Danio rerio: one gene and its partners. The protein of the gene in region 3 interacts with the protein of the main gene of each other region in a biochemical or structural test. Links are inferred from orthologs where the notes say so. Each region holds a gene or a part of one and is shown on either strand. Other genes may lie near its edges. The genes, in order: mcmbp, cdc7 and mcm4.

The links.
Region 1: the proteins of mcm4 (region 3) and mcmbp form a complex in vitro, tested with the Homo sapiens proteins (2 studies listed by BioGRID). The link is inferred for Danio rerio from reciprocal best matches to the Homo sapiens genes MCM4 and MCMBP.
Region 2: of the proteins of mcm4 (region 3) and cdc7, one has a biochemical effect on the other in vitro, tested with the Homo sapiens proteins (2 studies listed by BioGRID). The link is inferred for Danio rerio from reciprocal best matches to the Homo sapiens genes MCM4 and CDC7.

What each region holds. Positions count from the first base shown.
Region 1 is NC_133188.1:28,753,126-28,756,884, forward strand, and holds part of mcmbp (mini-chromosome maintenance complex-binding protein), read right to left. Parts: intron 284-3,759; coding exon 157-283; 3' UTR 1-156. UniProt on the Homo sapiens protein: Associated component of the MCM complex that acts as a regulator of DNA replication.
Region 2 is NC_133177.1:11,292,867-11,296,525, reverse strand, and holds part of cdc7 (cell division cycle 7-related protein kinase), read left to right. Parts: intron 1-33; coding exon 34-239; intron 240-572; coding exon 573-655; intron 656-3,659. UniProt on the Homo sapiens protein: Kinase involved in initiation of DNA replication. Phosphorylates critical substrates that regulate the G1/S phase transition and initiation of DNA replication, such as MCM proteins and CLASPIN.
Region 3 is NC_133199.1:39,260,947-39,264,605, reverse strand, and holds part of mcm4 (DNA replication licensing factor MCM4), read left to right. Parts: intron 1-1,720; coding exon 1,721-1,980; intron 1,981-2,193; coding exon 2,194-2,559; intron 2,560-3,659. UniProt on the Homo sapiens protein: Acts as a component of the MCM2-7 complex (MCM complex) which is the replicative helicase essential for 'once per cell cycle' DNA replication initiation and elongation in eukaryotic cells.

The DNA of each region.
Region 1 (3,759 bases), on a different chromosome or scaffold from region 3:
ATCGACTTCACCAGTGTCTAAGTTTTCCCAAAGGTTTAAAATGTAGTAAAAAAAACGAACTTTACAAGAGTTTTTTTTGCCATATGAAAACATTACTTTTTAATCCAAAATAATAAGTATGGTATCTGTTTAGGTAGTTGTAAATAGCAATATATTTTAAGGCTCGTTTCCGTTCACACATTTCTGCTGTTGTGTCCGACTAATCCTCAAGGCCTCGAGCTGCTTGGCTTTCATCCAGCCGTCTCTAGAAAGTGTGTTCTGTCCATGACTCAATGAGAGCAACCTGAAAACAAACGTAAATAAGAATTGAACTTATTTGTTCAGCAGAAAAGCAGCAACTCATCATGCATAACATGCTGTGACAGTGCAATGCTACAATTAATATCAAGCAAAACATGCATGTTGCATATATTCCCCTAAGAGACACTTCCAGAGCCACAGTTCACATTTGATTAGAACAAATGACTTCAGACTTGATATTAAAAATAAGGTTTATAGTGAATGGCAGCACAGTTCTGCTTTTGTTTTTTTTATAAAGGTGTTCTGAATACTGCTAAATAGAAAGTATTTGTAATGAAGTTAGTGGAGCTAAAATACTTTTAGAAATAGGTTTATAAGTTTATTTGCTGAATATCATTAAATACAGAAAGCATAAAAAGCTGATGTCACTAAAGCTGAATGCACAGATCCAAAATTACATGTTTTTAAATGGTTCACGTATCAAGCAATAAGTGAACTTATATCCAATTTCCCAATGAATCCCATGCACACCTAACCGTGAGAAACTGCATGCATGTCAGATCAACGATCACAGCTTAACACTGCACATCCTGCTAAGTAAATTGATGATACATTGTGCTTTCTTCAAAGGCATTGCTCACCCAAAATGGAGAGTGACCTCATTATTTACTCTCACTCTTGGTTTTAAACCTTTAGTTTCTTTATTTTGTTGAACACAAAAAATATATTTTGAAGAACGCTGGCTGTTTGGACTTGTATTCAGACTCAGTGTATGAATTCAAATTAACTGTTGATATCAACAGTTATAAATATCAACAATTTAATTGATGATTATATCATTAGAAAAACTGTTGATATCAACTATTGAATTGTTGATATCAGAAATTGCATTTCCTGTTAAGTTAGCCATTTTTACTTTTATTGCTTAACAGGGTATAAATTCTTGATATTAAGCATTAAATTGTTGATCTCAACAATCAGCATTTTTGATATCAAGAAATTTATTTTCTGCGAATGCTGACATTGTTATGAGTTGAAATGCAATTCTTTGTCAACAATCTGCATTTTTTAAATCAAAAATGTAATTCTTGATATCGAGACTTGATAAATTCATATTCTATTCAGATATCATATATTTCAGCATGTTACTTCTGAAATCTATAAATGTGATTAAAAGAGTAGTTTCTGATATCTACAATTACTTGTTTTAATAGTATTAATTCACAGTGTCAGAAATTAACATGGTCATAAACTTACATTTTTGAAATCATATTCTGGGAATGAATAAAGATGCTTTCACACTCTTGGTTTAATTGCCTGGTCCGAACCAAAGTTTGATTGTCCTCCTTTGTCAACTTCTTGGCTTGTTTGTGTTCACACATCTTTTTTTTCTTTCTGATCCCTGGTACGTTTGCGTCTTTGTGATGTGCTTGTGTGTACAGTGGTTGACAGCTACGAAAGCCAAGGCGACAAAACGGAAAGAACATTTGTTCTGCTTTTACTAAATCTTTTGGTTTTGGACATACAGACAGGAACTCGCAACTATCTGCCGCAAAAATATTAAAAACGTTCAGAACATAACGCAATGTCTGCAGAAGTTGTTTTTGGAGAAGACAAGCTGATATTATCACTGTGACAAGTAGGCCTGAGCCAGGGCGAACACAAAGGAAACGTTAGGTTGTACACTGACATACACACACACGAATGAACATTATGAAAACTAAAGTTTGTTGTACAGTTGGCGCTTCACTTCCGTTATTTGGTATTAAATTCATATCAGAATTGGACCAGAGTTCACACGAACAATATGCTAGACAACCTCTTTCAGGCAGACTCGCGTGCAGTTCATAAGGACACCTGAGTTCAGATGACTGTTCACACTAGCTAAACGTACCGTACTCTGACGTCAAGCGAACCCATGTGCGGTCCAAAAGTGCTAGTGTGAAAGCACCCTAAAGGCTCCTACACACCGGGACGTTTTTTGTTTGTGTTTATCGTCAGCGTTTTACGAGACGTTTTTCAGTGGCGTCAAGCAGAAGAGTATGCTAAATCACTAGGGATGTAACGGTATCAGAATTTCACGGTACGGTAATACCTCGGTATGAATGTCACGGTACGGTATTTATTGAATCATTTACAGGAAAAAACAAAACTTATGAAAATACTCCAAAAAAGTGCCAAAAGTGTCAATGACATACAAATTAGCCATCTATCTGTAAGCTTTGAAACAGGAACTTCAATTTTAATAACAAAAAAATATTAAACCATGTAAAAAAATTAAGTTTCAATTTAGTATTGTTGAAAACTCATCACATTCAACATTTAATCACTCACTCACTTAGATAGAGATGGGTTTAAAGGAAAATTATCATATAAATATAATCTGGTAAAAGCTGGTATCTCTGGGTATTTACAATGTCCCCTGCAACAGAAAAAAAAACTCTCATTTGGGACTGAGGTTTCTGGGACAAGAGAGATATGACGCGACGCGACAACACAGCTGATAAGAACTCGCGCGACAACACTGCTATTCAGTACGCGCGCGACAACACCGCTATTCAGAACGCGCGCGGCGACAACACCCGCTTTAGAGTTTTACAGCTCTTTTTCATCCCCGCTTCTAGCAGCACACTCCATTTCCGCATTACTGGATCTGTAGCGACAACAGACCGCAAGGGATGATGGTCAAGCATGGGCTGATGGGAATTGTAGTCCCGTTCGCTTCATTCGCCTGAGCAAATTTTCTCAGAAGACCTATAGTTTTACCGAGTCATGCGACTTCGGTAATATCGAAAAAAATTAATATTGCGGTATGACGGTATTTACAATACCGTTACATCCCTATAAATCACTCTTTTGACGTTGGCGCTGCGCAACTATAAGCTTCTGACACCCGCTTATAACAGAAGAAGTGGAGGAGCAGAAGTTCACAGTCACACGCATGTTGTTAAATTTACTGGTGACTCGAACAAGCATGGATGGTTCAAGCAGCAGCTCCAGCGATGAAGAAATGATTAGTGTTCACAGAGCAATAAGCAGCTCCACGTTCATATCGCCTCTGGGCATCTTCTTCATTGTGCGTTTGCATTGACAGTTTTGAGCTTGAGCGCCTCCAAGTGCTGTTTACGATAACTTCAGCAGCTCCATGCACGTGAACAAAAGTGCCGATCTGATTGGCAGAGAAGGTTTTGACGCCGCGCGTCAAAACAAAAAAACAAGCATGAGGCATTTTTTTAAAAATGACACTTTTGCGCCTGGCGTTTTGCGCGCTGGTGTGCACAATCAAATTGACAGGCTTTATTTAGTCACGAGGCGTTAAACGTTGACAGAAAACGTGAGCAAAAAATGTCTCGGTGTGAACGGGCCTTTAAAGGGCAATGACACACCCCACTTTCGGTTAAAGTCTACTTCAGAATTTTTTCAAAAGAAGCATGATTAATGGGCATGGAGCTCTGCGAGCATCGGGCAGGAGTGGGCGTAGCCAGCAGGGGAGAACGTGAACGAACAACTGTTGTTGTC
Region 2 (3,659 bases), on a different chromosome or scaffold from region 3:
TATCAGCTCTTCACCTGTCACATTGTGTTTTAGGGATTGCTTTCAAAGCCCAAAAAGGAGGAAGTAATTCCACGCAAGATTGTTTCTGCCAAACATCGCTCCGTCCCTGTCAGAGCACCATTAAATCAGAAACAGAAACTTCCGGCTGAGAGTCAGAAACCTAAACCTGCTGCCGTCAACCCCCTACTCACCTGCAACTGCTACATGACTGACCGCGTCTGCAACATCTGCCTGTCCAGGTACACACTCGTCATCTATACATCAATCCAAACCTTAAAAAGCCTACTGTGGCATGTCTACGGTGAAGAAAAAAGAAAGATCAACACTACACAGTCTACTACATGCATCTATACTCTGTTTTAGCCCAATTCTAAAAACACCCACATTTGTCATGAACTGCTATCAGATTTATTGTTAATAGTGAACTAGTGATAGTGACTAGTGATTAGTTACATTTTGAGTGTTTAATAAGCTACATCAGCCTTTTCAGGAATTTTTTTTTTTTTGCATTTCTCAATAAAAACATTCTATTTGATGGTTTTAATTTAATAGTGTGGTTATTTTTTTCACAGGAAACAGCAGGTGGCTCCGAGGGCTGGTACCCCTGGGTTTAGGGCTCCTGAGGTTCTAACCAAGTGTCCCAACCAGGGAACAGGTAAAGCTAACAAAAGCAATGCTATTATTATTATTATTATTTTGGATGTGATTCAGTATTCCAGCTCACTGTATAGAAAATACTATCTCTTTAACAGTTGGTACAGTTCTGTCTTTTTTTAAAACTTGTTCATGGTTTCCGCCACACCAAAATTGATCCCGCCATGGCTACATTACAACTTTTTATTCATATTATTCAGTTCTGTTTTTTTTAATAGCGGGTGATAATCGTACCAAAACGTATTAAAAGGTAAGTGAATTATAACGGGGCAAACTTTTCTGTAACCGTAGTAGTACTGTGCGTTATTTGTTTAACCCTTTAAGGTTATGTGCTGACTGACAGATGCGTGAGGCCAGCAATTACAACGTATACTAGTTTAACTTTACTTCAGGGCGCATTAATACCGCTCTGTAGGTCTATTGGAGACATTCAATAATATTCCTAGCAAATCTAATAAATGTTGGAGACATACTCGTTACATAAACGCACTAAATCGCACCCAGCAGCATTTATTTGAGCGCGCACAAGAAGATCTGCGCTTGAGCAGCGTATATTTAAGGATGTGCAAGAAGTTTTGTGCACTAGCAGAGGAAATCGGCGCGCAAGCAAAGAGTTTCACATGCTCGTAGGCTATTACATAAATCCGATCTCAACTTGTAATACTGCGCTCACGACATTTGTCATTGAAATAACGCAACAGGTAGTTAGCAGATCTGTGTAAAAAAAAAAAAAAAAAAAAGGCCTGCCACCACAGCTGTAAAAAAATCCTAGTGAAAACACTGTTGTGTACTTTATACACGTCCATTTGAAATTTATAATGGTCATTCTACAATTGCAGGTATAATTGACGTTTTCTTACAGTAGTAACCTATAGGTTATATAAACTTGGGAAATAAGTAAAATAAGAAAAAAAGTTTTATACATGTGTGTGTGTGTGTGTGTGTGTGTGTATATGTGAGAAATATCACACTAGTACCAGTGTGCTATGGCTGTATTCACCTTATTCTCCGCCGACGAGTGGGTGCTGCCATTTGAATCTTTTTGGCTCTAGACTTCCGGTCTCATTCACTTCCATTTATTTTTTTAACGTTAAAAACTGCTCGTTATGCTGCTAGATGTTGCAATTAGATTTTTTTTATTATATTATTCTATTTGGTCTGTATAGTCATGCAAATATTTGTTTGTAGAGCAAGTAGTTTGACCATTTTCTGCTGTTTATTATTCCTAGTCATTTCTCCCATAGGCGACTGAATCGGAAGTTCTAAGACAATCGCGATAACAGGCGCACTTCTGCATTTTAGAATAAGGTCAATATCAGCACTGGTGGGAGGCGTGCTTTGTGCCCCACCAGTGCTGATATACAGCCATAGCACACTGCTACTAGTGTGATAATGCGTTTATACAACAGTTTGATGGCACAATCTTGTACATAAAAAAGAAAATCAAACACAGAGAGTCTAAAACCCTATTGTATTAGGAACTACTATCTTCCACCATTTATTTACATCTGCAGCTGACGTCAGAACAGCAGAAGCTGTTCTGAATCCAGCTTCTTATTCGCAGCTTGTTATTGTCTCTCTCTCTCTCTCTCTCTCTCTCTCTCTCTCTCTCTCTCTCTCTCTCTCTCTCTCTCTCTCTCTCTCTCTCTCTCTATATATATATATATATATATATATATATACATTTATAACAATTAATAAAATTTAATATTAAGTAATTAATAATATTTATGCTTGTATACATACAAGTTTAATAAAATATAGAAATAAAACTTATTTGCACTCCAAAATATATGTACAAAAAAGGTGTGGTTCTTCCCAAGGGGTTCAAAAAGAGCATTTATTAATATGGACTTTTTAGATATAAACCAATACTATTTTAATGTACCGACCCAGCTTTGTGTATATTAATAGACATGCACATCATTCAACTGTTTATTTTATAAAAAAATTTTTAGTTAATTTTTTTTTATTTTAAGAAATAATAATGTATGCAGTCATGCACGTTTTGACAGATAATATGATGGTGATTTGATGCTTCGTAAAAGTTGCAGACACCCGAAATCAAAATGCTTGATGCAAAATTAATTTAAATTCTTTACACCAATTGAGAAACTTAAATTCTATTATACTATAATAAAGAAAATTAGCTCTGAGTTAAGAGTATTTAGCAATTTATTTAGTTTTACATTCAAAGTTCAAAACCTACAACCAACAACAAAAGCGTATAGCTATTGCCTATCATATTTATCAAACCATTTATTACGAAGTTTATGCAATTTTTCTCACATGGATAATTGAATATTACTCAGATGATGTCATTATGGTGCTGTGCCATAAGCCAATCGTTGGTCATGATTTTGAGGATCGATAGATCAGTCCATCACAACAAGTGTACCGATCTCCGATCAGTTAATCCAGACATTTTAATGTTTCGTGAAGTTGTTTGAAGAACCAAATCAGCCAGAGATCAGGTATCATGATTAAAAGTGACAAATCATCCAAGATCATTTAAGCGAGGTACGAAGACGGGCCCATGGTCTGTCCCTACGTTCTGGTCAACTTTGTTACATCGTTTATATAAAGCTATGATGACATTCTTTAATTAAAGCACAGATAGACAAAGCATGTGACTTGCTCCAAGTTGGGTCACTGTCTCTGATGATAAACTCTGGAATGCAGGGGTCACCAATCTCGGTCCTGGAGGGCTGGTATCCCTGCAGGGTTTAGCTCCAACTTGCCTCAACAAACCTGCCTGGATGTTTCAAGTATACCTAGCAAGACCTTGATTAGCTTGTTCAGGTGTGTTTGATTTGGGTTGTAGCTGAAATCTGCAGGACACCGGCCCTCCAGTAACAAGTTTGGTGACCACTGCACTAAGGCATGTCATTTTCTCTCAACAATTTAATAAAAAGGTTTAGGACACCAATAGTAGATTAACCCTTGTGTGCTGTTGGGGATGTTTTCATCTGCTCTGGGATGATTTTGTGTCTTAATTTGGCCGC
Region 3 (3,659 bases):
CCTATGGTGCCTATGCCACAGACCGGCCCTGAGTTGGCTGAGTGTTAAAAATACTCGCGCTCACCTCCCTCGTGACAGAGCGCATAGGAGATCAATGACGTGACATCAGTACATAATAACCGGTTATGATTATTACGGAACCGATACCTTATTGTCCGCGTCTGCATCGCGGTGCACCGAAGAAACAATTAATTTTGACACCCCAAATAAGTAATTTCAATCGTTAATGCAGCAGATTTATGGAGAATTACAAGCCTCGGATAGGAACGGACATGTCCCCCCTTTTCCCCCTGGGATTTACGCCCCTGTGAAGTAGGGATGCTCATTTTGGTTAATTTTGCTTACCGACAACCGCCGCTCATTAATCAAATATTACCTGTTAACTGGTCATATTAATATTAAATTAGCATTTAGTTTAAAAAAATTTGACGTCTCTGTTGTGTCTGACACATTAAATATTGCATTTTAAACACTGATTTATTTTAACATGCGAACATAACAACAGAGTATCTTCACACACCTGCAGTATTTCCAACAGCATAGAAAAACAGAATAAACTAAATTAAATGAATAAAATAAATAGGCCTGCCCTAACAATTTTTTCAATTAAATTATTAATTTAGGCGCCGTTTACACTGTTTGGTCTTGATGCCCAATTCCAATTTGTTGCCTATATCTGATTTGTTTGCCTGTCTGTTTACACGTTGTTTTAATTGTGACCCATATCCAATTCACTCGTTTACACTTGCCATACAATTTATGTTGTCGCGCATGCATAAAGCCGGGTTCTAGCATCTATGCCACACTAGCCACGATGGAAGAAATTGTCTTGTTTTTAGCTCTGCGAAGTGTAGTATAAGCAGTGAATGGTTTAGTCCAGATTTACCCCCACGTAGTAATAATGGTATGGCACTGATGTGTGTGTGTGTAGTTAAATATGTAGCCTTTGCCTGTGTGCGCACTGGTGTTAGAGAGAATAAAGTTGTTCTATGTGTATTAATAGTGACAAAAAGCAAAAGTTACAACACGAAGTTCGCCCAACTTTAAAATGATTTTGTGGTGGAGGAGGAAAAGGGCCGTCATCGCAGCTTGCGCTTATGGTTTATATGCTTTATGATGTCCTCCACCATTCAGAGGAATGTGTGGGTACGAGAGAGATCTCGGGTCTGCTGGGAGCAAATGGTGTCGACTGACCACTTCCTCCTCTGTGTTTCCTCTGATGTTGTTTACCGCGTCTGCATCTCCACACACGCTCTTCTTTCTGTCATTAAACTGCGGAGAAGCACCACATTGTCGCAAGTTTAATGATGTACAGAACGGAATGCCTCAATAAATCCGATCTGCCTGTTTACATGACAGTCGCATTGTCACATATCCGATCTAAATCTGATTTATTTCCCAATGCGAAGGAGGCCTGAAACCGATCTCTGAACATCCGAATGCATGCCTTTTTTTTTTTTTTTGTGTTTACTCAGTCGTAGAACAGATCCGATCTGCGTCACATATGAGCAAAAAATCGGAATTGGGTCACATTTAACTGGCAGTGTAAACGGGGGCTTAGGTTACAAAATGAAAACACTGACTGAATCCTTTATAAGAACCGGCATAGGCTGTTTTTTTTTTTTTTTTTTTGGTACATTTTTTTTGTATTTTTTTACACTCATGTTTTTGTCTTTCGTTTGGCAAAATGACTGAGCAACTCTTCTTTTATTGTGCTCAGGCATCTACAGAGCTGCCCCGATGCGTCTGAACCCACGGCAGAGCCAGGTGAAGTCTGTTTACAAGACCCACATTGACGCCATTCACTTCCGCAAGACTGACGAGAAGCGTCTGCATGGACTGGACGAGGACGGAGAGCAGAAACTCTTCACTAAAGAACGAGTCGCTCTGCTAAAAGAGCTAGCCGCTAAACCTGACGTCTATGAGCGCCTGTCCTCTGCTCTGGCTCCCAGCATCTACGAACACGAGGACATCAAGAAGGTCAGTATGATGGGAAACTCTAAATTGATGAAGTTGTTTTGAGTGTAATTGAATTGCTCCTCCACTTGCGAACTTGTCCCACTCCGTCTTCATGTGTTGATTGAGATTACGTCAGTCATCGAATAAAAATGCACATTTTAAAGCACTTCACGAGACCTTTACATCAAGGAATATGCTGTCAGGACACAAGTTGATGGTGTTGATGTTTTCCAGGGCATCCTGTTGCAGTTATTTGGCGGGACGCGTAAGGACTTCACTCAGACGGGCCGAGGAAACTTCCGTGCTGAAGTCAACATCCTGCTGTGTGGTGATCCGGGCACCAGTAAATCCCAGCTGCTGCAGTACGTGTACAACCTGGTTCCTCGCGGTCAGTACACGTCCGGGAAAGGATCCAGCGCCGTTGGTCTCACAGCCTACGTGATGAAGGATCCTGAAACCCGACAGCTGGTCCTGCAGACCGGAGCGCTCGTGCTCAGCGATAATGGCATCTGCTGCATCGACGAGTTCGACAAGATGAGCGACAACACCAGATCTGTGCTGCACGAGGTCATGGAGCAGCAGACGCTCTCTATTGCTAAGGTGCATAGGCTTATACGTATCTGATTACCTTAGTTTTTTAACTATATACGTTTCATCACAGTATTGACCCAAGCTGCAGTAATTTAACAAGTATAGTTACAAAAATGCTTTATTATATATACACATGTTGAGATAAAATAAATGTTTTAAACACATTAAATTGCAAAAGGATGATAAAGTAAAATAGGTAACACTTTACAATAAATTCTCTTTCATAAACCGTTAAAATAATTCGTTAAAATCAAGAATGAGAAAATGCAATATAGTTATTCATTCGTTCATTTTCTTTTTGGCTTAGTCACTTTATTAATCAGTGGTCGCCACAGCGGAATGAACCGCCAACTTATCCAGCACATGTTTTATGGAGCGGATGCCCTTCCAGCTGCAACCCATCTCTGGGACACATCCATACACACTCATTTACACACACTATACACTACAGACAATTTAGCCTACTCAATTTACCTATAGCGCATGTCTTTGGACTGTGGGGGAAACCGGAGCACCCAGAGGAAACCCGCGCAAACGCAGGGAGAACATGCAAACTCCACACAGAACTACCTACAGCACTACCTACTGCGCCACTGCGTCGCCTATTATAGTTATGTCAACGTTCGCAAAAAATACAACCAAATAAGTCTGTTTATCACATTTAATGAAGCAATTTCGACGTTAGATTTAAATAATAATAATAATAATAATTCTATACATTTATATAGCGCTTTTCTGGACACTCAAAGCGCTTTACACATTGGGGGGCGGGGTCTCCTCATCCACCACCAGTGTGGAGCATCCATCAGGATGACGTGATGGCAGCCATATTGTGCCAGACCACACACCAGCTGATTGGTGGAGAGGAGACCATGAACCCATTATGATATGAGGATGGTTAGAAGGCCATGATAGACAGAGGCCAGTGGGCAGATTTGGCCAGGATGCAATGAGAAATTGAAAAAAAGAAATAAAGAAAATGAAAGCATTTCAATAAATTAAGCATTAACTACAAATTAACATCACCTAAGATTAATAAATGTTTTTGTAGTTATCATTACATGGACTTTAATGAGTCAGAATTCATGAACAAAAGGCCTATAAATAGT